Lytechinus pictus: one gene and its partners. The protein of the gene in region 2 interacts with the protein of the main gene of each other region in a pairwise test. Links are inferred from orthologs where the notes say so. Each region holds a gene or a part of one and is shown on either strand. Other genes may lie near its edges.

What was found.
Region 1: the proteins of translationally-controlled tumor protein homolog (region 2) and Golgi phosphoprotein 3-like interact in binary tests that used the Drosophila melanogaster proteins (3 or more experiments, as listed by UniProt). The link is inferred for Lytechinus pictus from reciprocal best matches to the Drosophila melanogaster genes Tctp and sau.
Region 3: the proteins of translationally-controlled tumor protein homolog (region 2) and GTP-binding protein Rheb-like interact in binary tests that used the Drosophila melanogaster proteins (3 or more experiments, as listed by UniProt). The link is inferred for Lytechinus pictus from reciprocal best matches to the Drosophila melanogaster genes Tctp and Rheb.

The regions. Positions count from the first base shown.
Region 1 is NC_087249.1:5,501,471-5,512,784, reverse strand, and holds the start of Golgi phosphoprotein 3-like, read right to left. Parts: upstream 4,958-11,314; 5' UTR 4,804-4,957; coding exon 4,606-4,803; intron 1-4,605. UniProt on the Drosophila melanogaster protein: Phosphatidylinositol-4-phosphate-binding protein that links Golgi membranes to the cytoskeleton and may participate in the tensile force required for vesicle budding from the Golgi.
Region 2 is NC_087260.1:9,563,415-9,573,969, reverse strand, and holds the start of translationally-controlled tumor protein homolog, read left to right. Parts: upstream 1-6,321; 5' UTR 6,322-6,434; coding exon 6,435-6,462; intron 6,463-8,487; coding exon 8,488-8,564; intron 8,565-9,708; coding exon 9,709-9,893; intron 9,894-10,555. UniProt on the Drosophila melanogaster protein: Involved in calcium binding and microtubule stabilization.
Region 3 is NC_087247.1:20,765,241-20,776,633, forward strand, and holds the start of GTP-binding protein Rheb-like, read right to left. Parts: upstream 5,241-11,393; 5' UTR 4,925-5,240; coding exon 4,861-4,924; intron 1-4,860. UniProt on the Drosophila melanogaster protein: Binds GTP and exhibits intrinsic GTPase activity. Activates the protein kinase activity of TORC1, and thereby plays a role in the regulation of apoptosis. Stimulates the phosphorylation of S6K through activation of TORC1 signaling.

The DNA of each region.
Region 1 (11,314 bases), on a different chromosome or scaffold from region 2:
ATATGATTTGACAAATTCTATGCATAAATTAGAGATAGAATTTATCCAAATGTTAATAGTGGTCTGAAAACGACAAATACGAGTCCAGTTATGGATGGCCTGACGTGGTAAAATCTTTTTCGATTAAATTCAGGGTGCTACATAAGCACTTGCCCGATTGCCCGGGGCAAGTAAAGTTAGAGTCGGGCAAGTGTTTGGAAGACCAAAACTACTTGCCCAATGTGGGCAAGCAAAATTCTCACAGTAGAATTACCAAAATTAGGGTCGATAGCATAACAAGGTAGATCAGGTCAAAAGAGAGAAAAAGGTAAATGGTTTATAAAACCGCAATACTTTCTTTTGAAGAGGTAAAACTTTTTTTTCAATGATTTTTTGGGGCAAGTGAAATCAATTTTTGGGCAAGTATATTTGAACTATTAAAAAAATTACTTGCCCGACTGGGCAAGTGCTTCTAAAACGTCATTTTTATTTAGCACCCTGTTAAATCATTTTACTTTTTCAAAATGAACGGTTTTGTGGCGTTTTACCGTCAGTTTTTATAGTTTCTTTGTATTACAATTATCATTAAATGCATTATCCCCCTTGTTTTGTGATGTAATTTCAACCTCTGTGATAGATTACGTAAGATTATAATTTTCAAATTTCGAGGCACTTTTGCATGTCATAGTCTACTCTACCCACGTGATGCCACTACGTCATTTAAAAAGAAGTTATGACAGGTTCGGAGGTGTCATAAATATTTAGTGAGGTTGTTGTACCCGATCTTGGCAAAGAGGGCTTTGTGAAACGGTTAGCGGACAAGTAGTAGCTCACTATCTCCGATTTAGTCAAGAAGTTAGACTTATAACGGTGTTGAGAAACGGGCCCCAGTTTTGTTGATTGATCCCATGCACTTTGAATAGCCATAATCCCCCTGCTCCTTACCCGGTGCTCGGCCGTCCATACCAGGCCAGCAGCGCCTCCGTTTTACCTTCCCTGATGTCTGCCCCGCAAAGAAAAGTTGCAGTAAACCTACATGTAAATGTCACAAAAGCTCATGATTGGATCAAAACAATGCTGAATTACGCCGCTTTAGAGCTAAAATTATGATCCAGAAATACAATTTTGTTGCTGAAATGTTAATTAAAACCATTCACAGATGGGGAAGAAGGAAGTGACTTTGTGATTATGGAATGTGCAGCGCGTATTCAAGAACCCGCGAATATGTTTTGAAGCCGCCAAGCGCAAAAAATTAATCCCGCGAAAATAACACTAACAGCGTTTACAGTGTTGATTTTCTAAGTAAACGGAATTGTCACTTTTTCAAGTACACAAAGTCTATGGGGAAACAGAATTTCCATTTTCAGATATGCTTAAATTGTAAAAAGGAATGTAATTTTAAGGTTTTCTGAAACATGTCCCTATTTTTGGCACATTCTCGAGCTTGCTCAGTCTCATTATTAATTGAAAATTTAATGGAATATAAAAGAAATTCATGTGTACTATGTCTTAGGGCCTAGATTTTTAGATCTAAATACATTTTTTTCTGGTGCTCAGAAACTGAGAAAGACAGTCGACGTCGACAGGCCACATCAGAAAGGGGCCCCCTTCTTTTTCCCCACTGCTGCAACTCTGAGCTGTGCAAGCGCAAGTTGGCAAATCATTAATGGCATTTGCAACTTATGCAAGTGCACGTCGCAGAGAACCTGAAGTCCTGAACTTCATCAAAATATGGCCAAAATATTTTTCTTTTTTTTTACAATATCAAGTTGGGATTCGGCGCTAATGCAGTTTCGCACCGGCCGATTACCAGCATACCTGATCACCAATAGGCAATACTTGTTCCCAAATGTCATGACAAGTCTCTCACTCTGTCACATTTCGAGGTCAATATACCCACCTCTTTTCCAAATATCGCGATCGGGAACGGCTGTATTTCAGCTTTGATCTCGATGTCGTTGTTCGAATCCTCAGACATCACTTCGCGGATTGCTTGGATTCGCCGTGCACAGTAATGATGATGTGGACTGAAGTTAGCAACCAAATCATACGAACATGTGGCGAACAAACTGCCAGCATGCTGCAGGCGAATCTTTTGGTTGCTAACTTCCCGATCGCGATATTTGGAAAAGAGGTGGGTATGGTATATTATTTACCTCAAAATGTGACTGAGAGTAGGGTGTCTGGAGAAAAAATTATTTTTCTTATTTCAAGAAAATATCACATTTTCTTTGTGAATTTGAAGAGAAATTACCTTCAGACTGACAGAAATGTAACATTTTTGAAAAAAATCCAATTATTGGCTGCAAAAAAGAAGAATGAAATTAGGTAAATTTTCAGCATTTCTCTGCCATAGACTGTGTAGTTAAGATATGGACACACACAATTCCAAATTTTTAGCTTCCGAGAGCTGTTATAAATTTATCATTAATGCCAAAAACTTGTCCATAAAGAGTCCAATAGGATTTTTTATGCTCTTTCTGATGGTATGATTTTTATAAAGATTTGGAAACCAGATCACAATGAAAAATTGCGACAAAGTGAAAAAAATTGTGCAAAACAGACATTTAGTTTTCCCATAGAAAACGCATGGGGAAATGGCAATCTCAACACACACACAAATAAGGGTTTGCAATTTATCTCTAATTCTAAATCCTTATTTAAAATGATCATATAAACTTGTCCTTACTGTCAAAAGAACCCCCTGAATTTTCTCTTTCCATACATGCCAAACACAAGTTAATAATTAATTCAGATCACATTTTTGCTACTCTAACGTCCATGCGCAGTGAGTCGCCATGTGCAATTTTTTTACTGTTGCGCCACTCACCTGTCACTGCCTGACTACCATGGTTCTAGAAATCTTTTGCAATGTTGAAAAGTGTCTTGTGGCATTGAAATGCTGCAACGTTTGGTTAAAAGATCCAGCAAAACACAAAGGAGTTTAGCGCAGTCAAAGTCAGACTTGCAAATTTGGATCCGTACGGTGAGAATTTAAGCTGCCATTTTTCTCGGGCGACGATTTGAGACGCCCACACTAAGTAATCGATGTTTCCAAAACTGCCCGCTCAAGTTACCAATATTTGGTATCAAAATAAAGAGTATAAAAAAATGTTCACAATCATTTCATTTTGAAGGTGGGGGTGACAATTGTTATCAAAATAAGAGGGGGTGGCGACTCAACGTATATCTCAACCCACGGAGAGGTTTCAACAACGCAGCTGAGTCAATGCACTTTTGTGTACGATCGGTGCGTGTGTGTGCGCATGCGCGATATGCCTGTGTAGTAAATGTATTGGATTTTTCGAATCGGCGACTCAAAATATACCCATCATTGTGTCGCCTTTCCGGAAGTGTGTAATTCATGATGTTCTTACTAAAAACTGTAGCAATTTCAGGAGAAAAGTTTATCATATATTTGAAAGGATTTGTGGATACTTTCATCTCATAATACAAAGATTTGAGTCGATTGCGACTCACTGCGCATGGACGTTAGCAGCCTGAACTTCCCGAAAAAATGTGCCATATTTTCCCCTAAATCAGCCTGTTTTATGCTGACACTTTTCAGTGGGTGATTTCAAGTACGGTGTTGAAATCTGGTGTTGGTGTTGTGACAACACCAACACCAGCCACAACACCGTACTTGAAATCAGGCTGGTGTTGGGATTGACCTCGGAAAATATGACGTATTTCCGGCAGTTCGTGTTGAATGCTGGTGTTGAATATCGTCTGCTGAACCCAGCACTGCGGCTGATGTTGACGATCTACGTGCAATTTCCCCATTCACCAACACCAACCCCCAGGGATTGGGAAAATCATGATTTCAAGTTCGGTGTTGGTGTTGGTGTTGGCAATCTCAAGCTCGTGAACAGGCGGCGAACGCGATGAGACATCCCCGTAAAATTAGCTTTTACAGTTAAGATGAGCACAAATCATTTTTGAGCTGTATATATTTTGATGAAGAATAATGTTCACTCTTTCGAATTCTTGAATTAATTAAAACATTGGTATTCTGTACGATGAGAATTTAATGCATTTCTCACCGATTTCATTTTCGTCGTCGAGACTTCTCGCGTGAAGTTGAGATGATTTAGCAGCGCAGCGCAGAGGCGTGACGTCATGTGCTATCGATAACGCAATCGGTATCATTCCTCTGAACCCAGCTCGGTGTTGGAGCTCGGTTCAGCGGCCTTTTTACGCTCTCAACACCAACACAGAACACCAAACTTGAAATCACCCAGTGTGGCTTCAGACACCCTATAGTATACGGTACCCAGTTGTTGTGTGTCCGGACAGGTTGTGTGTCCGGACGATCCATTTTAGAAAGTCATTTGGAAATATTTACAAGCGAAGTTTCATCAATTTTTAGTACAAAATGTAAGGAAATATTATAGAGAACAAAATGGAAGATGATTACAACTATTGAATTCATATTTTTAGTGTAATCCAAAGACAAAACAGAAGGCTTAGTTCAAAAATAAAGTGTCCGGACACCCGACCCCCCATCCTACTGAGACTGAGAGTGAGAGACTTGTCATGACATTTGGGAACAAGTATTGGTGATGAGGTATGTTGGTAATCGGCCGGTGCGAAACTGCATTAGCGCCTGGGTTTTCCATACTTTACCTCTCTGTCTTTCAGACCCAATAATAAAACTTCTTCCATCAATGTTAATCTCGTTTCTTTTGATTCGCAGTCATCTTCTTCTTCACGAAACGGATCTTCGTCCGCTTCATTACTTGATTTTCCCCCTTCTGCTCCTTTAGATCCTCCACCTGTGTGTCTTTGAATTAAAGTACTACCTCTTTGAGTCAAGGTACTCATGATAGAATGTCAATTATTACAGCAGGTTCTGCCTATCTTTGAAGAAAAGTTATAGATTCCGCTTGTTATGATGTGTGAAATGGGTCGGCTTTTCCAAAATGGCTTCGTCTGCGAGAAGTGACGTCAAATTGCTGATCGAAATTCAACGCAAGGTGGCGTTCCATCTTCAATTGTCTATGCGCGTATAAACGTGTCTGGTATTAACTATTATTATGGGGGCTAAAATATGCGATAAAGATTACCCCCCCCCCATCTATCTTCACTTAATTGCACTGTTTTGTTTTTTGTTTATTTCAACTCAACAAACAAATACTGATCAAAAAGATTAAAGATGAAGAAGACAGATCTAAAAACTCTTGAAACAAGATAGCTGACACCCCAAGATTTTCATTCTAAAATTATTATAGGCCTATAATAATTATGTTCACATTTTAGAAAATTTGACTCGCCCCTATAACGAAGGAATGTGGTGAATAAAATAATCAATATTTTTCGGCGTGCTTCAACCGCAAAATTCTTCATTATGATTTGGCGATAACTTGATATTTCCACCCCCTCCCATCCGAGATGTGGACCGACACTTCTGAACTCTTAATGGTTTAATTACATGACTAACTTTAGCCTCAGACCGAGTCATCAACAATATAAACATTATATCCTAAAAAGAATGGCAATATTCAGAGCGCTTTTGACAATAATAGGCAAATTCAGAGTTAAAAGGACAAGTCCACCCCCAAAAAACACTTTCATTTGAAGAAAAAGAGGAAATTCAACCATTATAACTATTACACCAAAAATTTCATCAAAATCGGATGTCATTCAAAAATAGTTATATGCACATCTCGGTCGGTATGCAAATGAGGTAACTGATGATATCACTCACTCACTCACTATCTTTTGTTATATATTATAAACGAAATATTCTAATTTTCTCCTCATTTTCCTGTGAAATAACGTTTTATTTCTCTCTAAACATATTGTTTACCATTTTTATGGTTCAGTCAAGCGGCAGTTGATCCAATTGCCAAATCTGTAAAATTTGAAATATTGCAACATTCAAACAATAAAAGAAAGAAAAGAAATAGTGAGTGAGGGACATCATCGATTCTCTCATTTGCATGTGACTAAATAGTGCATATTGACCATTTGTGAAAAATAAGCGAAACTTTGAAATATTATAACTTATTTTACATCCTATTTAAAGTCATTTTCAGCATTATGCTTGTCTGACTTTTCTCTGTTGGTCCAAATCAACATTTTTGTGAGGTGGATTTGACCTTATTTTACGCGTTATTATTGTTATATTCGTGGTGGTTGGAAGGGGGGGGGGGCAAAAAACCCCACAGGTTAAGCAAATTTATCCACAGTGTGCTGCACTCGACCCAGGTGAGATGAATGGGTACCCGGCAGGATCAATTCCATGCATGCACTGAGCGCCAGTGATGGTAGCTCGAGCTAAAGCCGGGTTAATAATAGCAAGGGCTGTATCCTCAGAAAAAAAGCGCTATATAGATCTAAATGTTATTATTATTGTTGTTTATTTATTTTTATTATTATTTGAGTAATTTGTTCAACTGCAGGGCGCCTCAGGAAAGCAGTTTTGCATCACTGAACAGGCCTACCCTGCAGTATAAAATAAAGAAAACCAATAAATAAATAATAATTATTGTTACTATTAAGAGAGCATTAATGTATTCTGCATTTCGATGCGCTTTTTCGAGGGAAGGTGTAGCGACCTAGCGAGAAAATTTCGAATTTTCGAGCACTTGGTGAGTGACATGGATGAAAAGCTGCATTATTCTATTATCATAATACAAATAAATTATAGGGCCAACACTATATTTGGAGTCGAAAATTGTTTGGGGGCTTGAGTGATTTTTTTTTTTTTTTTGGGGGGGGGGGGCTTCAGTCCCCACAAAGCCCCTTCCTAGAACCGCGACTGGCCCCGGTTCCACTATAGAACGGGGGTATTGATCAACTTCACTGGTATTCCTTTTTGTGTGCCTTTATTTCTTTGCCTTTTAAATTAATTTCTTCCTTTTCTTTAATTATTTGCAACCCCTTTCCCCTGAAAGTGGCGCCCAGGGCACGTGGCCCCCTGCCCCCTCCCCCGCTACTATGCCACTGCTAATACCCTTATCAAATCGAATTCAATTGGCTTAATGCTGTTATAAAAAATATTGTTTTCGAAATAAATTATATGAACGCCCCCAAATTGGGAAATGTCCCGGGGGGCCACTTACATTGACGAGTGGATACCATGCGCGACCAAAAAAAAAAAACATAAAAAGGATGTCTTTTTCAAGATAGGGCATGTTACGTACGTAACGTAATAAGGGTGTCAAAAACACTAAAATAGTGAAAAAAGGGTATCTATTTTCGTTAGGAAAGCTACGTATTTAGGCCTTTAGGGTCAAATTTGCGAGGGGGTAAAAAATTAAGACTAAAATGTTTTATAAGGGATGTACTTTTTTTGCCCCAAGAGTCAACACTACGTGTTAAGAGTACGATTTGCGCGAGATGTACTGTGGGAGGTGGGCTGTACTAAACCCATGCAATGATGTAGGTAAAGGTAACCGACGACAGACGGCCGTGACATAACAATAAAAATATCGCTTTAAAAATCAGGGAATATTTGGCAAGAGTATCCTTTTGTTTCAAATACTTGTTAAGGGTAGGGTTTCACACGCCAATACTTGTTAAGGGGTGCATTTTTAGAATATGGAAAATACATGTTTAGGGTGCTTTTCGAGACCCCATGGTGGCGCAAATCCGGGGGGAGGGGGATGGGGGGATATATCCCCCAACTCTTTGGAGAGGGGGGGGGATGGCGTGTACAAATATCCCCCCACTTTTTAAGAAAGAAAATATATTTTAATTAATCTGTTAGTAAAATCTTTGAATATCTGTCATAAACAACCATCATATTTTAAAATTTATATTTGAAAATGCGATTGAAAACCAAAAAAGTGGTTATTTTTGGCTTGCTCGCTTTACTCGCTCATATTTTAGAATTTATTTTAGAAAATGCGATTAAAAACTAGAAAAATTGTTATTTTTTGGCTCACTCGCTTCGCTCGCTCTCGCAAAATAAATATTAAAATGTGTGTAAGGGGGTATGTGGGGGGTCAGTGAGAGTGTGCATGTGCTTATACCTAAGCGTGAGATCGACGGAAAAAAAATCGTCAAAAAGTCAATCATCCCCCCCACTCCTCAGAGTGGATTTACGCCGGTGGACTATCCACTCGTCAATGGAAGTGGCCCCCCGGGGAAAATGTTTAGGGAATTGGAAATGATTCCTCTTACCGCACGAAGCGTGGATGTCAAAACGTTTTATTAAAAAAAAATGAGAACAGAAAAGGGCATTCATTGAGTGGTATTTGATAACAAAAATTTACATTGAAAAGACAGCAAAACGGGATAGATCGATGGTATAATATGCAGAGAGAAGATATTCCTTCCCGCGAATACCGTTGAAGATCAGAAATGTCAAAATTTCTCTTAAACCTTAACCTGCTCTATATTAGTAATTCAAAAAAGCTCAAAATAGGAAAGAGATGATGCACGGAGAGGAATCTTCCCTTTCAAATACCCGCGAAGCACGGAAACCTCTGTGGTTTGTTTTGAAACATACATGGCCTATAAAATTATGTGTATTCGCTCATTGTTCAGCGCTTCCTTTGTATGATAAAGAAATTTGAGTGAAATCAGTTTCATTAATGGCGCAAAAGAAGACATGAGATGGATGTGCCGCGATATGAATAAATTTTCATCGTATATACCTTGGTATATCATGGCCCTGGGAAGTGGGGGTGCTGGAGCACCCCCAAAAATTATTTGGGCGGGGGTCAGTGGCGTACCTAGGATTTTCCACAGGGGGGGCAAAACCGTCCGCCAAAAAATTTGACAAGCAAAAAAAAAAAAAAAAAAAAAGGTCTTCGATCACAAATAAAGGATTTCGTTCCAGAAAAAATTGACAAGCAAAAAAAAAAAAAAAAAAAAAAAAAAAAAAAAGGTCTTCAAGCTCGTCAGGTGGGGCAAAGATACGTTTTTGCATGGGTTGTGACTCGTCAGGGGGGGCAGAGTGCCCCCCCTGCCCCCCCCCCGTAAGTACGCTAGTGGCGGGGGTGCTGCGTATATAGGCCTACTATTCTCCATATAGGCAGCACCCCCAGGTACTTAGGAAAATATGAAGAAAAAAAGAAAAGAAAAAAGTAACCAAATATCACCTTTGTTTTTTTGTGTGAAATCCCCCCCCCCTTTTTTTTGGCTTTTCAAATTTCTTGGGACCAATAATTAGTGAAAACAAACAAAGCCATACAAAATAATCCTCGCACACGCCGGCCAGCGCAGCACTTATCTAGTCTGCTGGGCAAACCCTTCACTCGGGTTAAGGGTCTGAATGTGCAGCCTACTCATGCCTTGTGTACTGAAGGCTCTCTCGTGCCAACCGCGTAGCCAGGATTTCATTTTGGAGGGGGCGGTAAATGCACGCGAAGCGTGCCAACACTTACAGAGCGCGCGAAGCGCGCTCCCTAGGGGGTGGGTGCAGGGAGGGGGAGTTTCCCCCTCCCGCGCGAAGCGCGAAGCTTTTGGTGTTTCATAAATTAAAATGAAAATAGGAGCCGTCTCTCTTGTCTCTAGTACCTATATCAGCTCCAATTCAGTCGACTATATTGTGATTTTGAACCTTGTTTTCGAAAGTGATTGTGAACGCACAAAAAAGGAATACAATGGAGGAAATTAAAGTAATAATAACCCCGCGCGAAGTGCGGAAGCTAGAGCGTTTTATCATTTTTTTCAAAGAAAAGGGTTCCGAGAAAAGGGTATTCTCTAAGATATATTGAATACTTCCCTTGGAAAGATCAGATTTGATTACAAACAATTATAGCGACAGTGCATATCTTTAATTCGCAAAACAGAGGAGAAGTGTATATGCCGGAGGAAGATATTCCTCCCCGCGCAGAGCAATGAAACTCTGAAATTTTAAAGGGCGGACGTTTCATCAAATGCAGATATCTCTAATACCACATCGGCTCTAATTCAATTGATTATTTAAGATTATTGAACTTCATTACAAGGAAAATAGTGCGCAAAAAGTTGAAACTTCTGTGATTTATTGAAATTATATAAAAAAAAGGATGCCTAATTTCTTTGACTTATCCTGAAGCGCTTCATTTTGAATGATAAAGAAACTTAATTGTCATTCAAAATTTCAATCTGAGGGCGAAAACAGGAGATGAATGTGCAGAGAAATGACATGAAGTTTAATAGAATTTGATGGAAAAATATTGTACTTTTTTATTTAATACGACACGAAATTTATACCTTCCTCTTTTTAAATTAGGAACCTGTTTGCCCCCAAATTATGGTTGTTTAGTAATGAGATGAAAAGCGGGAGAATTTGCCTATATGGAGGTGACGGCAGAAATTGATATAAAGATTTTACCCGCCCGGAGCCGACCCGACCAGAAGTTGCGCGATAAATTAAAAAAAAGACAACTTCATATTTCGGCCTAACCTTACTCTAATTCCATGCCCTAATGTATACATTTGAACTTTAACTGGCAAGAAACACATATAGCTGAGGTGGAAAAACAGGGTTAGAGAAAGGGTGGGGGAAACAATGGAGAACTGCAATATTGTCATTTAACCGCGCGCAGCGCGGAAGCAAAAATATAAATTTAGAGCAAGAGTGAAGGAGTTTCTCTTTTGAGAAAAAAATAAAATAAAAAGAAAAAACCCACAAAGCTACCCTTTTCCCTTTCTTCCCTTCGCTTTTCCTTTTCTCCTCTCTTTTTCTCTTTTTTTTTTTTTTTTGGGGACGTTTTGGGGGGGGGGCGACCGCCCCCACCGCCCCCCCCCCTGGCTACGCGCCTGTCTCGTGCTAGTCTTTGCGTGGAGGCACACTTATTGATCAAAGTTCCAATCAGGGTCTGTGCCTGCAGACTAGCACTTATCAGAGTTAACCCGGCCCTGGAGCCCGCCCTGGAGTACAGTCCAAGCTAGATACACACTGGCGTATAGGATTTTCCAGGATTTTCGTCAGGGGGTGGCAAAAAGGTCTTTCAAGCTCGTCAGGGGGGCAGGGATACATGCATGGGTGGTGGCTTTGCATGGGTGCATGGCTCGTCAGGGGGGGGGGGGGGCAGACTGCCCCTCTGCCCCCCGTATGTACGCTAGTGTATACAAGTTTGATGAAGAGTGCCTGCATGTATAGACGTATTGGGGAAATATTACAATAATGATATATAATCATTATGTTGGTAAATGCTGTTTTTTATTCATATACCGTAATGATTTGTTTTTTATTATCAATATAAAATTTAAAAAGAAGATACATTTCAACACATTAACTGGTATGGATTCCATTTTTCAAGTTTGGATAAAATTGGTAAAACGAATGGTAGATCTAAGTGATGCATCAGTCAGTCACTTGCATTCATTAATTCAGGCTATATATTCAAAGTGGCTAAGAGAGGTGTCCTTGAGAGTAATCATGTTGGTCTTA
Region 2 (10,555 bases):
CGTATGCCATAAAATGCAATAAGTTATGGATTATAGGATTAATAGCTAGTGTCGAATGCCTTAGACAAGTCCAGGAAAATACCCACCATAATTATGTAAAGGTTTATCGACAGCATGATCAACTTTTTCAACAAATGATAATAAGGCGTGAAATGTACTGTGCTTTTCTCTATATAAATCCAAACTGTAAATTTGAAAAAATGTTATTATCATTTAAAAATTTAATTGTTCGGCTATAATGATTTTTCCCAGAATTTCAAAAATACATGGTAGTAGGGATGTAGGTCGGTAATTGCTTGATCTATCTCCTTTCTTATAAATGGGAATGACAATTGCAATTTTCACTTGTCCATGAACAAATTGAAAATGTGAGCAAGAGGATCAACAATATATGGAATTATAGTTTTAAAGGAGAATGAAACTCTTGGAGCAAGTTAGCTTTTGTGAAAGCAGAAAAATCAAAGAATAAGATCAACAAAAGTTTGAGTAACATAGGACTAGCAATAGTATGAGCATTTGAATGTCGAGATCACTAATGCTATGGAGATCCTCCCATTGGCAATGCGACCAAGATCTATGATGTCACAGATGAACAACTCTCCCCTTTTGGACACTGAAAATATACCCCAAAACATCTCTTTTTGCTCATTCTAATCATATGACAAACGATTCATCAATGATATAATGTTGTGAAACCTCTGTACTTGTCCTCTCATAAAGAGAACACCTCACCTTGTGAAATACTCTATAAAAGTGAGAATATAAGTGAAACAAGTACTAAAGTAATGAGGGAGTTGTACGTGTGTGACATCACAGATCTTGGTCGCATTGCCAATGGGAGGATCTACATGGCATTAGTGATCTCAATATTCAAATGCTCATATATTTCTTATTATTCATTCAATCTTCCTCAAACTTTCAACAATATGTTTCTTTGATTTTTCTCTTTGATATGGATTCAGCTGGTTTCAAGGGTTTCATTCTCCTTTAAGTATAACGTTGTTGATATCATCATAACCAGAACTTCTTTTATTATCAAGTAGAGACAATCCATAATTTCATAAGGGGATGCCGGGGATCAGAAATATTGAATTTGGATTGGGCATGTTGGGTGTGCTATGGGTGTGCCATGGAATTCGGTTAATATTGTTTGTATGAGAGCGCTATATTGATAGCCATATTTCCGATCAACAAAAAGTCGATTTGAATAAAAAGAGAAAAATATCAGAAGCGTAACTATAGCACAGAAAATTTCATCAAATCCTATTCATAATTGAATAAGTGCTTGAAATTTCCAGTTTTCAGGCCACAATATTGATAGATTTCGCGCTCTCATTATAGGCCTATTTTTATTAGATTGATAAATAAGATTGTCCTTTTCAGAATGGAATATCGACAAGTTTCATCTCGCGCTTAGGAAGAAATATAGGAAGATAGTCATCATTTTTATACATGTATAGTATGATGACAAAATGTCCCGGTCCTATATGTAAAAAACTCAAATACTTAAATATATCAGCTCCTTATAAAGTGCGATCCATATCCACCTCACATTTTTCCTACAAAGTGCTTAAAGCATACAACTTGAAACGACCCCTTTTCAGGTCAGAATATCAAATATTTAAACTCGCGCTTCGCGCTCGCTTCATAGATTTTCATGATAACGAAATGTATAATGCCCAGATTCTAGGTCTAAATGGGAAACACGCGCGTTCATGTTTATTCAGATACGCAGCTTGTTCTCTATTCAAAATCATTATCTAGTTTCAGACCAGAATATCAAAAAAATTCTGCTAGCGCTTTGCGTTACCATATTTAATGTAAAAAGATCTCGAATCACTCTTCCTTTTCATGATTTACAAAACATGAATGTGTCCCGTTTTTAGGCCTAAATCTCGATTTTTTTTTTCCGTTCGCGCTTTGCACTAGCTCGCATCAGTTGTTTAGTTATATACCTACCCTGTTCACGATTACACAAAAGTGTTTTGGAATTTCCAAGTTAGGTAGAAATGTCAAAAAAAGTTCAGCTAAGGCTTCGCGCCCTCATTATTTGATTGTTGAAATATGTAACATAAGTTCATGGCTAACTACAAGCAGTCCTTAACAGGTACCTTTTCGATCAGTAAAAACATGTATTAAAAATTTCATTATACACATCATGTTCGGGGTTCACAAACATTGCCTAGAATGTCCGGATTTGAAGACAAAATACATTGAATTTCAAAAATATTTAGCTCGCGCTTATCGCTCGCACTGTTGGAATAATATAAGGATTATGAGGTTATTATACATGTATATTTATGTTGAATTATGAGAATAAAGCTATAAGAAGTGACTATTACGACTACCCCTTCAAAAAAAATCAATATCGAGCGGCCGATCAGGGAAATTATGGATGATAAAGATTTCTGCCCCCCCCCCCCCTATTGGCGAAGGCTGGATCCGCCCCTGTCATATATATTTTTTTTAAACATGTTTTTATTAAGGATTTCATTCAAATGAATTACATAAACTCCAGATAAATACAAACAAAATACAAATCTTCAGTTTATATCAACAAGGATATGCAAAAAAAAAACATATACCAAAAACTGAAGCAAATAAGGACGGAATGAAATTCCTTAAAATGATACTTTTACATCTATACAAAAAAAAAGAAGCTTACTTAACTGAGCCCCCAACCCACTATGTATTTTTATAATAATTAATATTAAATGACTAAATGATTTGCAGGAAAACAGAAATCAACCTACATGTATTATCATTGCATCCCATTTTAAATCAAGCTTCAACATAACTTTACATAATTATACGCACATACACACACCCACCTTAACACCCATACACACATGCACATACCACGCATACGTAAACAAACATAATATATACAAATCTGCATAATGAACGTTTAACATTTTGGCGCAATAGGATACAGAAAGAAAAAAAAACCTGCAAATCATATTGATACAAGAGAAGGGGAAATTGAAAAGAACTAGTAAAAAGAAAAAAAAAACATCAACATTCACACCAGGATTCACACTCGCACCACACTAGACACATCCCACCTGTTCACATTCAAATCCCTTTTCACCTTCAGTTCATCCCATTTCTGCAAATGTAAACTTAACTTGCCAGTTGCCTGACTTCGTTGCCAGGCGTCTTTCTTCTTCTATACAACCCGTAATATATCTGTGTATTTTAATGAATGAAGGTACCCGGCCTTCAGCTCTGGAATTAAAAATTGCACATTTAATAAAAAGAATAACAGAATTGACACATTCAATTCTACAAGAATTTCCAGGTAATCCTAAGAATATTTCCCTCCAATTCAAAGTTCTTAATTCAGCTAAACAAAAATGATCAATACAAAATTGCCACAGAAGTTAAACTTTTATGCAATCCATGAGTATATGGGTTACGATTCAGTTTTTTGTACAACAAAACGAGCAATAATTATCTCCCACGAAACCAAATCTCATCAATGTATATAATGCTCCATGTAAAAGCATAAACTGAAATTCCCTTTGTTTTCTTGTAAGAGTTGTACTCCTGATATATCCAAATAGTTTACAATATTTTTTTTTCAATATGTTTTTATTAAGGATTTCATTCAAATGAATTACATAAACTGCAGATAAATACAAAAAAAAATACAAATCTTCATTTCATATCAACAAGGATATGCAAAAAAGTACATATATATTTACCAAGAACTGCGAAGCAAATAAGGACGGAATGAAACTCCTTAAAATTATACTTTTATATCTGAAAAAAATAACTTAACTGAGTCCCCAACCCTCTATGTATTTCAATAATAATTAATGTTAAATGGCTATATAAATGATTTGCAGGAAAACAGAAATCAACCTAAATGTATTATCATTGCATCCCATTTTAAATCAAGCTTCAACATAACTTTACATAATTATACGCACATACACACACCCTCCTTAACACCCATATACACACATGCACATACCACGCATACGTAAACAAACATAATATATACAAATCTGCATAATGAACGTTTAACATTTTGGCGCAATAGGATACAGAAAGAAAAAAAACCCTGCAAATCATATTGATACAAGAGAAGGGGAAATTGAAAAGAACTAGTAAAAAGAAAAAAAAAACATCAACATTCACACCAGGATTCACACTCGCACCACACTAGACACATCCCACCTGTTCACATTCAAATCCCTTTTCACCTTCAGTTCATCCCATTTCTGCAAATGTAAACTTAACTTGCCAGTTGCCTGACTTCGTTGCCAGGCGTCTTTCTTCTTCTATACAACCCGTTATATATTTGTGTATTTTAATAAATGACGGTACCCGGCCTTCAGCTCTGGAATAAAAAATTGCATATTTAATAAAAAGAATAACAGAATTGACACATTTAATTCTACAAGAATTTCCAGGTAATCCTAAGAATATTTCCCTCCAATTCAAAGTTCTTAATACATACACACACACCCTCACACACACACACACACACACACACACATATATATATATATATATATATATGTATGTGTGTATATGTATACATACAATAAGATGAGGTTCAACTAAAAAAGATGACGCAAGAAACCATCCTTATAGCTTCAGCTTTCGTATCAAGACTTCGTCAGAAGCGTTCCGAAAAATACAAGGGGATACAACCTCCAAGTTCGGCTTACAAGTATAACATAGGTGTCGATTTCTTGTGATGATTGGGGGACGATTGGTGTCTGATTGAGGCTATGCAAGGGATCGAAGCGACCGATCGGGGAGGGTGTGGAGGGGGGGGGGTTCGCCCTCCGACGGTTGGGACTTAATATTTTTAAGAAATGACATGCGATATTGTATTTTAGAGCAACTACTGGATAGTGCACTCTAATTGACAGGGCTATCCATTACGGCCACCAGGATTTAAAATTATTACAGATTGATTTTCAAATCCAAATCCATTAACATTTAAATCTTTAAGGGTAGATTTAAAAACCTAACGTCGACCGGTCACTATTCATAGCCGTACATTTTTACAAATCCTTGTAATTTAGAGAGTAGGTCAGATCTTTGAGTTGGCATAACTTGCATTGACCATTGCTTTAATCGCAATAAACCCTGCCATTTTGATCTCACTACTATAGTGAGCAAACGTAAGGGAAAGATTATACACTGATGAAATTATATTATCAACCTGTACCATCTGCTAAATATATAAGAACATATACTTGTTAAAACAATTTTGTTTTTTTATGCACCATCGAAATGAGAGAGAGTCTAATACATATGCATTTATTCATGGCTCATGAAATTTCTCTATATAGGCAAGTGCCTTATCATGACATACAGATGAGTGCGTTAACTGTTTTCAAAACAGACTTGTCAACTCCAGAAAAAGGATTAACTAATATTTGGGAACGATCCGTTTTTCGTTTTTTTGTATGTCTGTGTTGTCATTTTTTATTGATTTTATGTATTTCAATGAATCTATATCGATTTTTTTTTCTGGAGATGTACGACATCCATTGCTTATAATCACAATTTAATGCACATCAATGAATTACAAAGTTGAATAAATTCCATATTCTCATCAGACAGATGAATGAAATAATAAAGGGATGGTCCGGGATGAAGATATTTACATCTAAACAAATATAGTAAAATTTACAGAGCAAATAAATGCTGAAAATTTCGTAATAATCGGATAGCAAATAACGAAGTTATTGAATTTTAAAGTTTCTCAATATTTTGTGAAAACAGTTCATATACATCGTGATGAATATTCATTAGGTAGGCTGATGATGTCACATCTCCACTTTCCTTTTTCTTAATGTTATTAGATGAAATCAAAAATGTTTCACTTTTTCATACATGTGTAAATGATGTTTCTCATTATAAATGAAGTTGCGGCAAAATAACTAATGCACTCAATCAGTTGTCAATCCAATTTTTTTAGTTCTTGGTAGAAAATTTTTGAATAAACCTAATTTCATATGATAAAATCCCGGAGATAAGGGAGCGGATTACCATAAAATAGAAAGGAACAAGGGGATATTACATCATCAGCCCACCTAATGAATATTCATAAAGTCATGCCTGGAATGTTTCACCGGAATAATGCAAATCTTAAAAATTCAATAACTTTGTTATTTGTTATCAGATTTTTATCAAATTTTCAGCAATTTACTCTGTGAATGTTACTCTCTTTATTGAGATATTAATGTTTCCAGCCTGGACCATTCCTTTAAATAAACATATATGACACTAAACCCAAAATTTTTGTTGGGGTCATAAATATTTCCCCCTCCTCTGGCTTGCCATAATGGTAATACGTCACTGCATTCACAGACGTATGATTCATACATGTCCTTTTTTAAGTCCGCAGCATCCGAAGCTGACGAAGACATTCTGGGCCTTCAGAAAATCCATTTAATCCTACCAAAATGATTATCTACAGGGACATACTTACAAGTGAATATACTACCTTTTATATTAATTGTGTAGCGAAGTGATTGAAATGTTTTGATAAGCTTTTGAAGAATATGAGAATTGAAGATATTTTTGTGTCCCACTGCTGCACTGACACTGCAGTCTCCACTTTCCTACCGCACTACCGCACTGAGTGATAGACATATTGTAAGAATGTAGGCCTAAGTTGTAACTTTAGTTAGGCCATAGCAGGTCTACGAGCTACGTTACTCGTTAGTAGTACTAGTAGTAGACAGGAATAACCGTCGTTTCTGGGGATTTATTCAACAATTTCTGACATTTTAGTTTACTGTAATCCCCATTCACCGACGGTAGTGTGTTACGTGAGTGCGAGCCTGCATGTGTAATCACATCACCCATTCGGAGTAGCCAGGCGGCTTCTACAAGTTCTAGTTCTAGTACTTCTACTATTTTTCTAGAGAGTAAAAATCATTTAGCCTACTAAAAAGTCTAAATGGTAAATGGACTTGGGGGACCTGCATGTCATGCTGCAGTCGGAGGTCACATGATAATGTCAAAGGTCATTTTCAGGTCAACGTTAATGCTAACCCAGAGAGCTCCCACCCGCGCAGCGGGCGGGAGCCCAGAAGCTCACAGTGTATTCTACCATTGCCACCGAACAAGGGTGATTTATGGTCTAAATATTTCTCCAAATGAATTGTGAAAACAAAAAGTGTACAATTACCACGATTATATGGATGAAGGTCTAGCGAGTGGCAGATTCCTGACATCTGAGCACAGTCTGGAACCTCAAAAAAACCAAAAGTTCTCTCCTTCTACCCAGTCTCGATCGGCCGTTTTGTTACGATTTTTAACAAAAATGGCCGATCGAGACGGGGTAGAAGCAGAGAACTTTTCGTTTTTTTGAGGTTCCAGACTGTGCTCAGATGTCAGGAATCTGCCACTCGCTAGACCTTCATCCATATAATCGTGGTAATTGTACACTTTTTGTTTTCACAATTCATTTGGAGAAATATTTAGACCATAAATCACCCTTGTCCGGTGGCAATGGTAGAATACACTGTGAGCTTCTGGGCTCCCGCCCGCTGCGCGGACGGGAGCTCTCTGGGTTACGTTAATGCAAGACTCTTAGTCTTATGACAAGTGTTATTCCATCCCAGTCATTTCACAATGAAGTTTTGAATTTGATACAATTCTGTTGCGTGCCCTCGCAAATCACAATCAGACAATATTTCTGGTTATTTTCATAAGTGGGCGAGACACAAAATCGCTTTTGCCTTGTTTTCTTTATATCACTCTTTGTCATTTTCTTTTTCCTCTTTCTTTCTTTCTTTCTTTAGTTTAGTTTTTTTCAGTGATTCCCTTTTATATCTTGTGCCATGGACATACATCATACATGTATACAAAAGTACATGAAAATATATGATGGAGGAAATTAATAAAATGGCATATTGACACTAATTTCAGTCATGGCAGGCAAATACAAGGTATAGCCTTAGGTACACAGTCCAGTTCATGTTTGAAAGAGAGGAAAAAAGCAATGGTAGGCCTAGGCCTATATAAAACTGCGCTTCTATCTTTTGGAGCGGTAAAACGTTATGAAAGAGTTTTCCGGGCAAGTGAAATATATTTTCGGGCAATTATTTTTCAACTTTTTTAGGAATTCACTTGCCCGACTGGGCAAGTGCTTCAAAAAAAGTTATGTAGCACCCTGCCATCTAATGAATATTCATGACAATGTGCATATAACTGTTTTGACAAAATATTGATAAACTTTAAAATCAATAACTTTGTTATTTGTTATCTGATTTTGATGAAATCTTCAGCATTTTGCTCTGTGAATTTTACTGTATTTATTTAGATATAAATATTTTCAGCCCGGACCATCGCTTTAATCGCATAATGTAGGCAAGAGTCAGCCAGAGCTGCTCCACTTATTACTGCTATTTTCAGATTTCGTTATATCAAGCTTTGGTACATCTGTTTTCAATGCTATTTTCCCATTAAACGGTATAGTTGTATTTTTCTCATTTTTTTCCATTTCAGATGATGAGCTTTTCTCCGACAATTTCAAAATGGAACTAGTGGGCCCGAACAAGAATATAATTAGGATCAAAGTAAAGGTAAAAAACCAAGTTTGGGGTGGGCCCCCTGGACATTGCGATAAATCTGCGACACGACAGACATGATGTTTTTCTTTCAAGTCTCACCCAACTTCTGAGACCAAGTTTGTGATGCCCCAGTATGCTGTACATTCCAAAATTACGCAACATTGATATATCACTATCAGGCACAAACATTTGATTTCACAAGGATTAAATTTTCCTTTTTAAAGAATTTTCTTGATGCTGTTTTAGCTTCATACATGTAGGTCGGATAAGCCCTCGAAATTCAGGAACACAGGTTTTAAAAAGCCAGGGAAATCGATGGCCCCAGAAACGTGGTTGAGACCTGAAAATTTGAAAAGTAGCCCGCGAAACAAAAGCATCTCAATCCTTGTTGAATGATGCTGTGTATGTTCCTTGGGAATACCACATGTGTGTCAATGAGGATGATGGGGACAAATGTCATCTCGGGGTCAAAAGGTCAAGTGATTTCAGGTCATGTCCATCCTTTTTTTGAAGTTTCATGTAACTTGTTCTCATTTTATTTCTCCATCAACTTTGATCACATTTGGTTCAAATTATAATTGGGTATACATGTATGTACCACCGGTTTGTTGCTCAGGATGATGGGGTCAAAGGTCAATTTTTGTCTCGCCTGCAAACAGATTGAGACTAAAGGTGCCGCGCCGCTTTTTTAACATCAAATCTTAACCGAAGATTAAGTTTTTGAAATGACAGCATAACTACCTAGTTCATGAAACTTGGACTTAAGGTTAATCAAATGTTACTGAACATCCTGCTTGAGTTTTAGGTCTTATGACCAAGGTCAAAGGTCATTTAGGGTCAATGAACTTGGACCATTTAGGGGGGGTCCACCTGAAATTATGGGATGGACACGGGTAAAAAAATTGGACAAGCAAGCAACAACAAAAAAGGTTATCAACGGAAATTTCAGGGGGGTCTGTCCCCTCACCTCAAATTTAGGGGGGCAGGAGACCCCCCCCCCCCCCCGCTTCCGCCGCCTATGTTGCTTACTCATGCTCTTTATTCCTCCTCCACAGTCCACCCTTCTTCCCTCTACGTGTACCTCCCCCTTCCCTCTACTGCCACATTTCTTAAGTATACAGTGTATATTGTACAAATTTTATTTACATGTATACAGAGAGTGACAGAAACCACATCAGCTAACATTGACATTGGAGCTAACCCATCTGCAGAGGAACAGGCTGAAGCATTGGAAGACAGTAGCGTAACTAATTTCGATGTTTGCACCAACCATCAATTAGTGGAGGTGCCCGGATATACTTTAAAGGAATTCCAGGGTGTGTTCAGGAAGTATGTAAAGAGGTAAGTAGAATTGGGCTTGTGACAATCTGTATGGCATTCACTTATCAGATTGTGGAACTATCCATGTGTGTACACGCAAGAATGTGATGCGTCGGGTCAACCTCAGAGAAAACTTGCTTGACGAGAATTGGGGGAATGGGTGAAATGCCGCAAAGCTCCAAACTTGTTGGAAATTCTCATTTTACATTAGTAAAAAATGTTTGGCCTTTCAAGTATATTCTGTAAAAAGCAGTATGAGATGATAACGGTAAAAATTTTGAAAAAGCAATTTTTCTGTGAGTTTTTTTTTAGATGATTTGAACTTTTCCTGATACTCCGCTAGTTCAGCCTTTATTGATTGGCTATTCATAGTCGGGGCTAGCTCGCTTGCTTGATCGATAAATTAAGGATAGATCTTTTACTTTCAATATTCTGAAAAGCGTGTCTTTTAACAAAAGTTCATAAAAAGGAATGCAAACATTGGTCTTTGGGTAAAAACATAGTAAAAACAAGTCTTATGACAATTCTGTTGCGTGCCCTCGCAAATCACAATATTTCTGGTTATTTTCATAAGTGGGCGAGACACAAAATTGCTTTTGCCTTGTTTTCCAGTTTGTCATAACAGTTGGCACAGAGAAGCAATATTAGAAGGTGAAGCGAAGATGCCTATCATTTTTGGTGGG
Region 3 (11,393 bases), on a different chromosome or scaffold from region 2:
GCAAAGTTGTATTTTAATGTAATTAAAGGTAAATGCCAGTTTTGGTAACGATCTCAAAATGACTTTTTACAGAATCCAATATAATGACCACCCAAGTGTCGGTTTGTATGAATAAAAAATATGTGCCAAAGGATTCTGGAAGAAATTGTGTAATTGCTGAGAAATAAGCAAAATAAGCGCGGATTCGGGCACTTCCGTCGGGTCTTTATTCCAGCAATAATAATATACTGTCCCACGTGTGCCTATCTGTGTTGGCGATCTTCAGTGTGATCGTTTTTCAGCTTAGATTTTATGATTTCACAGAGTTCAGTTTATGTAACTGTACCAGATCTAGATCCACGATGATATAGTTATATTTAACCTTGGTTTTACAGACTTTCTCACGAAATCAGTGTTTACTGCAACTACTATCATTTAGCTTTAAGCCAATCATGTACAAACATATTTCTATATGCACAATGTACTGGGACCTGGTAATTCATGTACTTTAAAAAAAGGGGTTAAAATATTTGACAAGAGGTAGTGGTCTTGTTGTGCAATTTTTGACATGAGGAATATTTCATACTGACCAGGATATGCATATAACTGGTATGTGAAAATAAGCAAAATTTAAAGTGCCACAACTTTTTAAATGGAATTACCAATTTTTTTTACCATTGCTATGCTTTTCTGATTTGTGCATGCTCTTATTTGTATTAGTAAACTTGTTAGAGTTGACTTGGTTTTGTTTATCCATCACCCATTCCTTTATGTAAAGATGTATTGATGTATATATGTAAGCATACATGTCGTGCAACATCCATGCTCTTCCAAATTAAATTTCATAAGAATTAAAATTCTATTGTGCCCATTTTTATATACACTGTACTTAGTACATATTTCATGACTGAGCACACGAAGGTCCAACTTTGAAGGCTTCATTTAAAAGTAACAACCTTCTTGTCCTCAAACTTCTATTCAATTTTTCACCCTGAATGTGTGATTGAACAGTATGAGAGGGAGGGAAGGGAATATTTACTCAAAATTTATATAGAGAAAGTTGAAATGAGAACGGCAAAATGGTAAAAAGATGGAGAGAGAAAAAAAGAAACAGACGATCAACGAGAAGAGATGGAAAGAAGAGGAAGATCAAAGAGAAAGAGAAAAAGGGGGAAATGGCGAGGGATGAGAAAGAGGTGAGGAGAGAAAGGCGAGACGAGAGGGAGATAATTAAGAGGGCTCGATATAAGGGAGATGGGATATAAGAGGAAATAAAAGAGAGATATAAGGGGGATAGAGAGAAAGGGAAGGTAAGAGAGAGATGAGAAAGAAGAGGAAAATCAGAAAGAAATGACAGAGAAAGGAAAATAATAAAGAGGGAGATCGAGATGATAAAGGGGAGAAATAAGAGAGAGAGGGGCATGAAAGTAGAAATGGAAGAAATAGAAGGGGATGGAGAAAAGGGAGGATAAGAGAGATGGACAGATAAGAGGAAGATCAGAGAAAATGAGAGGAATAGTTGAATGAGAAGGGAGGTTTAAAAAAAGCTAGAGAAAAGGGACATGATTTCTAATCGTTAAAATAATTTTTTGAAATGCAACCAGCTAGTAGGCCTTCATTGTTCAAATTGTAGGCCTACTCAGAAAGCAAATTTGTTGTGGGTCCTTTCTTTGTCAGTGTGCGCGTGAAAAAGGTCGAGCTTTTTATGATTTCATGTCTGTACATGAATACAAAAATGTGACTAAATCAACATTTTCAGTTATGAAAGTATTCAATAATATATAGTTCATGATGTAACAAAGCAAACTTAAACTTTAAACAGCACAAGGAACACTTTCTTTGCGTTCCTTTCTCTTATCTGCATACATGCAGCGTTTGTCGACCAGCCAGTATTGACCTAGCAAAATGGCGGTGCGCTCAGTCGAGCGTGAAGCCAATGCTCTTAGTTGCCGCACGGCTTTGTGTATGTTGGGAATAGGGACACGTATTTTCAGTTCAGTGGTGATGTCACATGTGAACAACTTTCCCTTTGATGGACTGTAAAAAAAATGTCTCTTTTTGCTTTTTCTTATGGTGACACAAACTCTTTATCCATGATTCTTTAAAAATCTGTATTATATGCCCTCCCATAGAAAGAACACAAGATCTACTGATAGATGTGATAAAAGAGGCAGTTTACCTATAAGTGAAATATATACTAAAGTAATGGGGAGAGTTGTTCACAAGTGACATCACACATCTTTGTCACATTGCCAATGTGAAGATCTCTATAGCATTACTGATCACAATATTCCAATGCTCATCATTTTTCTGATTTTTATAAATCTTTCGAAGTTTCGTTGATCTGTTTCTTTGATTTTTCTGTTTTCACACAAGCTATCTTGTTCCAAAGCTTTCATTCTCCTTTAAGGATTTATTTATTCATCCTATCCAATATCATGAAACAAATGATTGTCAGATTGTGTTTTCAATTGTCACAGTTATCTATGTTTCTACATGCTCTATTGGGAATGGACATATTTTGTGTACATACATGTAAGCAAGTGTAGAGATGTCTACACTGCATTTTACTGTTTTAACAGATGTAACCATACAGTGTTAATTAAATTTTAATCCAGAGGGGGGGGGGGGGGCTTGGGCTCATTCGCCCCATCTGGCATGTTAAGTTCATAGGCTTCCAGTCAGAAAGAAAAAGGGAAAGTGGGGAATTTTACTTGTATTTAGTTTGGATGGGAATGTGCAGCTGAAGGTTGTTATAATATAATAAATACTTATAATCAAGTTTCAAATTTTATTATTTGTTAAATGAAAATTTTTATCTATAAATTGTTCTTCAAAACGGCATTTTGTAACGTCGCTTATCGAAGCTACGTCATAACGAAGTGGTTCAAGGGTCAAGCCTATTGTATTTGCGGTGTTTACAAATGGATCAAGGAATCTACATGAGATCGGTAAAGTGAGTGATTGTATTACCGACAGGCCTTGTATTACCGAACGTGCGCATCATGAGCATCAGAAAATAATTCCATACGCTCAAAATTTTGCAACATCCTTTCAAAGAGAACTTGAATAGAAAGATGATGAAAAATTGTCAAAAACACAATTTCAAAGTCTTAATATTCGAAAAACAATAAAATATGGTCAAAATAGCGCATCAGTGACTTTGTTGTTTTCTCAACTTTTCCCATAGAAAACACACGTTCGGTAATACGATACCTTTTTCAAGTGACCAAAATATTTCACATGCGAAGAGGGGTCCGATTGGAAGCTAATATCGTAAATAGGAAAAACGATTTCGGCCAAATTTTTACATATTTATATTTTGTAGGTAATTGTGTATTCATGGTGAAAGTTTGGTGAATTTTATGAGAATAATGTGTTTGATATGATTGAATTCATGAAAAGTGTTCGGTAATACGATCCACTACCATATGGTATGAAATCTCTCATTTTTCATATTTATACTAACATTTTTTCATCCAGGTCTTCATACGCATTAGGCTATGAAGGTTGTATAGATAAATAAAATGCAACAAATTTATGTGATCTGTAGGTTTAAAGATGGATTTCCTAGGGAAATCCATCCATGTTTACATATTCTGCTTTTTGGGGAGGGTTTCAAGGCTTCGTGATGAAAAAGTATATGTCAAAATATTAAAAAATATCATCACAGAGTCCTCAAGGCTATGCCCATATTAGACCAAAAGCTTCGGTCTATGTTATGTTGGTTATGTTGGTTATTCAGCTGAACTCTGTTGGCTTCACTCAGCAAATACAGAGACCGAAGTTCTAGCGCGATGTGTACAGGGGACTAATGGCCATATGTTTATGTGTATTAAGTTCGGATAAAACAGGGCAGTGAAGTTGCGCGACAGCCGAGGTAAGTCACTGTTTTTGTTCCTTTTAACTTGATTTTCCCCGTGTTTTTTTGGCAATTAATGCCAAGAGGGAATATTAATTTGCATTTCGGTCGCATTAATTTTCATAAGTTTGATTCATTAAAGACAAAAATTGAAGAGCCCCGACGGGGGGATTTTGCTTTGTAAGTCCCCTAATGGTGGCTGCACGATAGCGAGCCGTCTGTGTACGAGGAGAAATTAGAAAAAATGTTTAAAAAACTCCACGAAAACAGACGGCTGCCAGCTGTCTATGCCCATACTGTATGCCCCATTATCAAGGATTTATTGAAATTTGACAAGCAAAAAAAAAGGTTAAAATTAAATCACCCAAAATTGGAGAATATGGACCCATGTTTAAGGCCAGACTAAAAATTGGGCCATGGACCCAAGTTTAAGGCCAGTATCTAAACATTGGGGCCGTGTTTAGGGATTTTCCAGCATATAAAACCATACCCCATCATGTTTAGGGATTTCTTCCAGACCAAAATTAATAAGCAACCCATTCCTGCGGCACATCCCCATATGCCTTGATTTCGCCTTGAGCCCTCTCTCAATCCCCTATCTCACTTCCCCATGTTTTATACACAGCTGCGTGCCGATGTGCGATGGTTTACTTACTCAACGACAACGCTATAGTGGGCGTCCTTCCCCATGAGCAATTTTTATTGGGCGTTTGGCCGTTTGGGAGCATTTAAAAAAATCGCTGAAATGTCCAATCTTTCCCTTTTAATTAGTTTTATTTTAGTAAAGGTACTCCTGAAACACTGCCCTGCACTTGTACCGCCTACATACACTGCATTAGCCCTGCCACCGGTGCCAAATTATGCAGCCACGGCCAAGCTAACACCACCAAAGTTCACAACACTACGCTGCACAGCACAGCCTGCACGAATGCCACTAGTTCAGATGCACAGCACTCGGAGTCAGATCACACTAACAACACTCAACAGTATTAAACAGCAACTAATTTTCTTTAACTTACCGACTGATCGGAATCCCATAACAGCAATTTGTCGCGCTTTGGTATCAGGAGGCATCTTTGACATGTTATATACAATTATAATATTACATAAAATGAATTATATTACATAAAATAGGTCTGTTGCAGCAGGATTTGTGGGACACAGAACAGGATTTTCTCGTACACAAACGATAAAGTTTTCTTAGACTACTTTTCAGACTTAGCAATTATGTGCTAGTATAATTATAACGATGGCAATTTTTCAGTACTTGTCCGGAGAGATGTCCGGCAGCCCCGCCGGCCCCGGTTCCAGCATTCCCTGCCTTGATTTTACACTCGTCCTTCTACTTTAATGTATTTCTTTCTTACTTACTTTCTTACTTTCTCCCTTTCTTAATTCCAGTTTCTCTTTTTTCGTTGTTGTGTATGTGCATGATATGGGCGCCCCGCGTGCATCGATCGATCGATCATGCCCCCCACCCCTCAGAGGATTTTGCCGCGCGTGATGAAAATGCAAAAAAGGGGATAAGGGAAAAAGAAAGGAAAAGGGAAAGAAAGGAAAGGAAAAGGATAAGAAAGAATATTAAAGAGGTGATATGGAAACGGAAAGGGATTGGCCCTATTAGGGCTACAATAATGTGAGAAGAACCATTCCGAAATTCCGCACTCAGAAGGGACCGGGGGGTCATAAAGGAACGGGAAATAATGGAGATAAATTAAAAGTCAAAGAAAGGAAAATGATGAAATACTATATTAGGTGCTAAACATAATGTCAAAATCTCTAATGATTAGAATTTCATTTTCAAAAGCTTTAGACCAATACGTACAGTTGCTTGCTTCGCTAGCTCTCGGGACTTTTCAGAAATTTTCCCATGCAAATTTGCCATAATTATGTTTGCCCTTCATTTTTACGCCACTGCGTATAATTATATATACGATTAGGCTACTAGCCCCGAAAATGGCTGAATCTCGATCTTTAAAGGGCAAGTCGACCTTAGAAAAATGTTGATTTTGATCAATATAATGCTAAAAAATTCATCTAAATCGGATGTAAAAAAAAAGTTGAGACATTTTTAAGTTTTGCTACATTTATAGTTATGCGCACGATTTAGTCACATGAAAATGACAGAATCGATGATGATCCTCACTCACTATACTTCTTTTGTTTTTTATTGTTTGAATTAGAGGTCTAGACAATGTTTTGATTTTTACAGATTTTACAATACTAAGGACCAATATGAACCATCCCATGAAATGTTAAACAATGGTAATTTCAAATGTTTAGGAAGAAAGTAAAACTTTCACATTTAGGACAATAAATTATAATTTTTCATATTTCATATGAAAAAATGCAAAAAAAAATATGGTGAGCTAGTGAGTGATGTCATCAGTTCCCTCATTTGCATAACGACCAGGATGTGCATATCCTATTTTGTGAAACTAAGCGAAACTTAAGAATGTTATAACTGTCTTATTTTACATCCGATTTGATGAAATTTTCAGTGTTATACTTGTTCGATTTTTTTTCTTCTTTTTTTAAAATCAACTTGTTTTTGATGGATCTCGAGAAGTTCGGGGATCGGCATTTATGAACCCTGGACCACACTCATCATAGCACTCAAGGGTTTCTTTCTTTCCTTCTGACCTTCTTTACTTCCTTCCTTAATTCCTTCCTTCCTTCCTTAATCCTTCCTTCCTTTCTTTCCCTTTTTTCTTTCCATGCATCTGACCTTCTTTCCTTCCTTTCTTTCTTTCATTTCAAAATTTCGCTTAATTCTATATAACAGTTATTCACATCCTGGATAGTATGGGGACTGATGACATCACAAACTCATTACTTTTTTATTATCATTTTTTTGCTTTTGATTTTATTACATGAAATGTGTAATATTTTGATTTTCTCCTCGATCATTGTCATGAGAAACAAAATGGTCAGTCAAGTTTGTACTTAAAGTGTCAAAGTGTATATTTCAAACATTTAAACAAAAACAAAAGCCTATATGAGGGACATCATCTAATCTCTATTGGTGAGGCGTGCATAAAACTGTTTTGTGAAAAATAAGTCAAACTTTGAAATGACATAGTTATTTTACATCTAATTTTGATCAAATTTTCAGTGCTGCTTGTTTGATTTATAATTTTTTCAAAATTTTTGGGTGGATCGACCCGGGCCGCGGACTTAATTGACCTTTAGAAATGCATCATCACATTCTTTCACTGTTTTTCTTTGTCTTCTTCTTTAAAAGAAGTGTATAGGCCTATATAGATACATAGCTCTTTAAAGGGACTATAGTAGCCTAATGTGGGAAATTTTTGGCCAAAAATAGGGAATAAAAAAATACTGAAAATGTAGCTATAGCCTGACCTTGCTATTTGAACGGTCCCAAATTCTTATTCGCAAAATTGATGCGAGTTTGGAATCGTCAGAAATGCACTCCATCCCTTCCCAAATAGCACCCCCCCCCCACAACCAGCGCCCCCCCCCCCCACCCTCCATGTATACAACATCCAGAGCCCCGCCCGAGCCTATATAGCCTAGCCACATGCAGGTCAAAATAGAAAATACAATAATTGTAGTTTAGGTCTTTTAAATAGACTATTACACGTATTGCATGCATGGCGCCTATCGCCGGTATAGACTTTCAGTGAAAACCACCGGCCTTAAAAACTGGGAACAGTCCGGGAACTGTAAAGTCTCCTCATACAAATGTACAATAGGCTTTTGCTGGACTAATCAAGACGTTGAATATATACTACTCATTGAGGTGAGGTGAGTTTCTTGTTATATGTTAAATTGGTATTTAGTCAGGCATTGATACGAAACGGTGGGATTTAGGTCGCCGCCTCCGCCACAGAGCAGAGTCACAGCCACAGAGTTGGGGGCGCGGTCCCCACAGGTCTCTGGCCATACCTGGCCCTTGCGCCGTTGGCGTTGCGGGAGTGAGTACATGAGTGCGGGTACGGTTTACCGGTATAACTTAAACTTTAATAAAGCCATGGGTTCGGGGTTTATTTTCATTTGGTCTAATGTAACTAAGATCAAATGCCAATTCGTCCAATTGCCAACTCGTCTACTATCATTTGGTCTAGGCTATCATCAGTTCGTCCGATATAGAACTTAGTCTTACTCTTAGATTAGAAGTCTACTTCCCATTTTTAGCCATTTATTTACTGCCATTGGCATATGATATTAGGCATTACATGATACTGTATAGGCCGAGTCTAGATCTATTTTAATTTTAGATCCAAATCTAAATCCAGATTTAATCCACATTTGGTCCAAATTAGTAAAGCCTCTAAGTCTAACTTAATAAGGCTTAGACTTAGAGCCGGGGGGGGGGGGGGGGGCACTTACATTGACGAGTGGATACCATCATCACCATGCGCGACCTAAAAACACGTAAAAAGGTAGACAGCTGGCAGCCGTCCGTTTCGCCTTTCGGGGAGTTTTTTAACATTTAAATTTTTTTTAATTTCTCCTCGTACACAGACGGCTCGCTATTGTGCAGCCACCATTAGGGGGTTAACAATGCAAAATCCCCCCGACAGGGCTCATCGATTTTTGTCTTTATTTCATAAAAATATATAAAAGAACTACCAAAATAAAGATTATTCCGTTTTGGCCTGATATTCACCAAAACGGGGAGAAATAATCTTAAAAGGAGAAAAAACAGTGACTTCGGCTGTCGCGCAACTTCACTTCCCTGTTTTATCCAAACTTAATACATAAACATATGGCCATTGAGTCCCGGCCTTTACAGATCGAGCTAGAACTTCGGTCTCTGTATTTGGTGAGTGGCCAATGGAGTTCAGCGGAACAACCAACATAACAGAGACTGAAGCTTTTGGTCTAGTAAAAAGGATGTCTTTTTCAAGATAGGGCATGTTACATAAGTTACGCAACGTAATGTGACAAAAAAATGAAGATCATCAAATATCAATTAATTTGGTATCATTTGAAAGCTCTTAAAGAGACCTTTCAAATGATACAAAGAACTATTATTTTCTGATTATAAAGTTATTCCAGTTAAGGACGTTCCACAGTTAAAGTGAAATCCATGACATTTTCACCAAACTTTGCACATAGATACTTTAAAACCTTAATATTCGAAATATGCAAAAATTAACATAGGTCCATGTGCTTGATTTTTTGCTATAGAGCTTCAAAGTTCACCCAAATTGACGTTCTTAAGAATTGCGCATTCAAAAGAATTTGGCATTTTTAGACCGCCCGAGATTACTACAATGAGTTTAAACCTCTATTTCTCAGTCAAAATACATGAAAAAATCATCAAATTTCGCAAGAGAGTTAATAATTGTATCGTTAGAAAGGAAAATCTATTTATATTGCTATTTGTTTGCAATTTTAAGTTTAGCAGCACTGTCAGTTCTTAAACATGGCGTAAAAGATAACAAAATCCCAATCTGAAAAATGTAAAATTTCAGTAACAAACTACAAACGTACAATAAATGCTGCACTTTATTCAAAATCCATGTCATTTTCACCAAAATTTGCAGAGTTGTAGAGGAAGGTATACCTATGAGGTACAAACATTAAAAAATAGAGGTTCATGTGCTTGTTTTTAAAGTATCAGCATTTTTATTAGAGCAAATGTGATTTTTAAAACACAAAAAATGCGCCGAATGCTTAGTATATATGTGAAGAAAAAATCAAAACCACTCTACCATTTATTCAAATTCGGGGTAATATTCGTGATTCTTGGCAGCACTGCAGAGTAAAGTATTTTGAAATTGTAGAGAATCTTTTTTTGAATGGTCCATGGAATAATTCCGTTTTTAGCTTCATAAAATAACGCATCGGATCTACAGTTAAAGTGCAGAAGATGAGAAAAATCATTTCATACCCGCAGCTTATTAACCACATGTTCATCCATTGTGACGTCAGCGCGCAGAGTGTAAACTATGCGCAGATCATAATGCGCACAAACATAACTGTGGAACGTCCTTAAAGTCACGCATACTCATCCAAATTTGTGGTCATTGTCTTGCAGTATTAAAAGTCAATGGAATACAGAACCGATTTTTGTGACCATTTTGAACCCAAGTCTTCAACAGGCTCTAACTTCTTTGTTTTTTAGCCCTTTGAAGTAATTTAGGTATCAATGGAAAGGTGAAAGAAAGCTCAATTGATGATAAATCATGTCAATTTGTAATTTTTCTTCTTGATATGTGTAAAATAATTTCTTCTAATTAATTCTAATTAATTATGCAAAATAACAATTACTCGCCTCTTTTTTTTTGCCAAATGAAGGTGATCATGATAGATGATTTATATAATTTAGTTGGCATCAAAACAGCATCATGTAGATAATTTCCCTAATGAATTTGTTTAAAGTATTTTTTTTTGTAATTTCTAATGTATTACTTTGTTTTCTGATATAAATTACAAGCTCTTTTTCAACTTTAGTATTGTATACATGTATGTACGGGGGTCTTTTTTATATGTGAAAGTTATCATTCCTTTTGTACTTTGTGTATGTGCTATTTTCTGATGTATTTGATTGTTTCACCAATGCCTTATGTATTCTATTGTTTCAACAATTTGTTACGTAGCTTTTGATTTTAGAGACAATGAACATTTGATTACAATTTTTTTAGGAGGGATGAGCCAAGTGTAAAATATGTATGTACATGTAGCATTGTATGCAATTTATTACAAGTATCAAGAAGGATAAAAATGAAGATTTCAGTTTTCAATGCATTTCTTAGATTTGTTTACATGTACATACATTGTATTACAAATGCCCTGTTTTAGCTCTCTTTTTTAAAGAAAAATAAATAAATTCAGATTCTAGAGTGAAATCACTGCACATAAATGTACACAATTTTTTACACATACTTCCATGCTATTATGAAACAAAACAAAAAATAGCAAGATTTTGTGGGAAAGATCTTAACAATCCAAACTTACCAATCTCCCCATTCATGAATAGACTTGAAAGGCACCAAATTATTAGTTGAAGCCAAAAGAAAAGGAAAAGAGTGGTCTATTTCTTTCAAAACAAAACAAAAGACAACCAGGAAAAAACAGATCAAAGCTCCAAACAAAAACAGACATCAAAGCTCCAAACAAATACTCAAAACAAGAGAAACAAAAGTGACACAAAAACTTGTACCAATCCCATCCCCATTTTCCAGTTTAAAACAACCTGCACCCCTAACGAAAAAAGAAAAGGAAATAAAATGAAGAAAAAAAAAAATCAAAATTAATGAAATAGAAATAAAATCATAAATACAGGACTTAGACCCATCTGGAAATGAAATATTCTTTCCTCTGAATTGTCATGTATATTCTTACAAGAGTGGAAAAAATATATAAAAAATAAGCAACATAGTTCTTGCATTATAATAAAAAAATCAACATTTAAGATATTCCCCTTTCAAAAGCAAATCCAGTCTCCAAATAATGAAACATGATAAAAAAATAAAATAAAAATAAACAACGTAATTTTTGCATTTTTATTAAAAAGTCAACATTTATGATATTCCCGTTTAAAAAGCAAATCCAGTCTCAAAATAATGAAACATTGAAA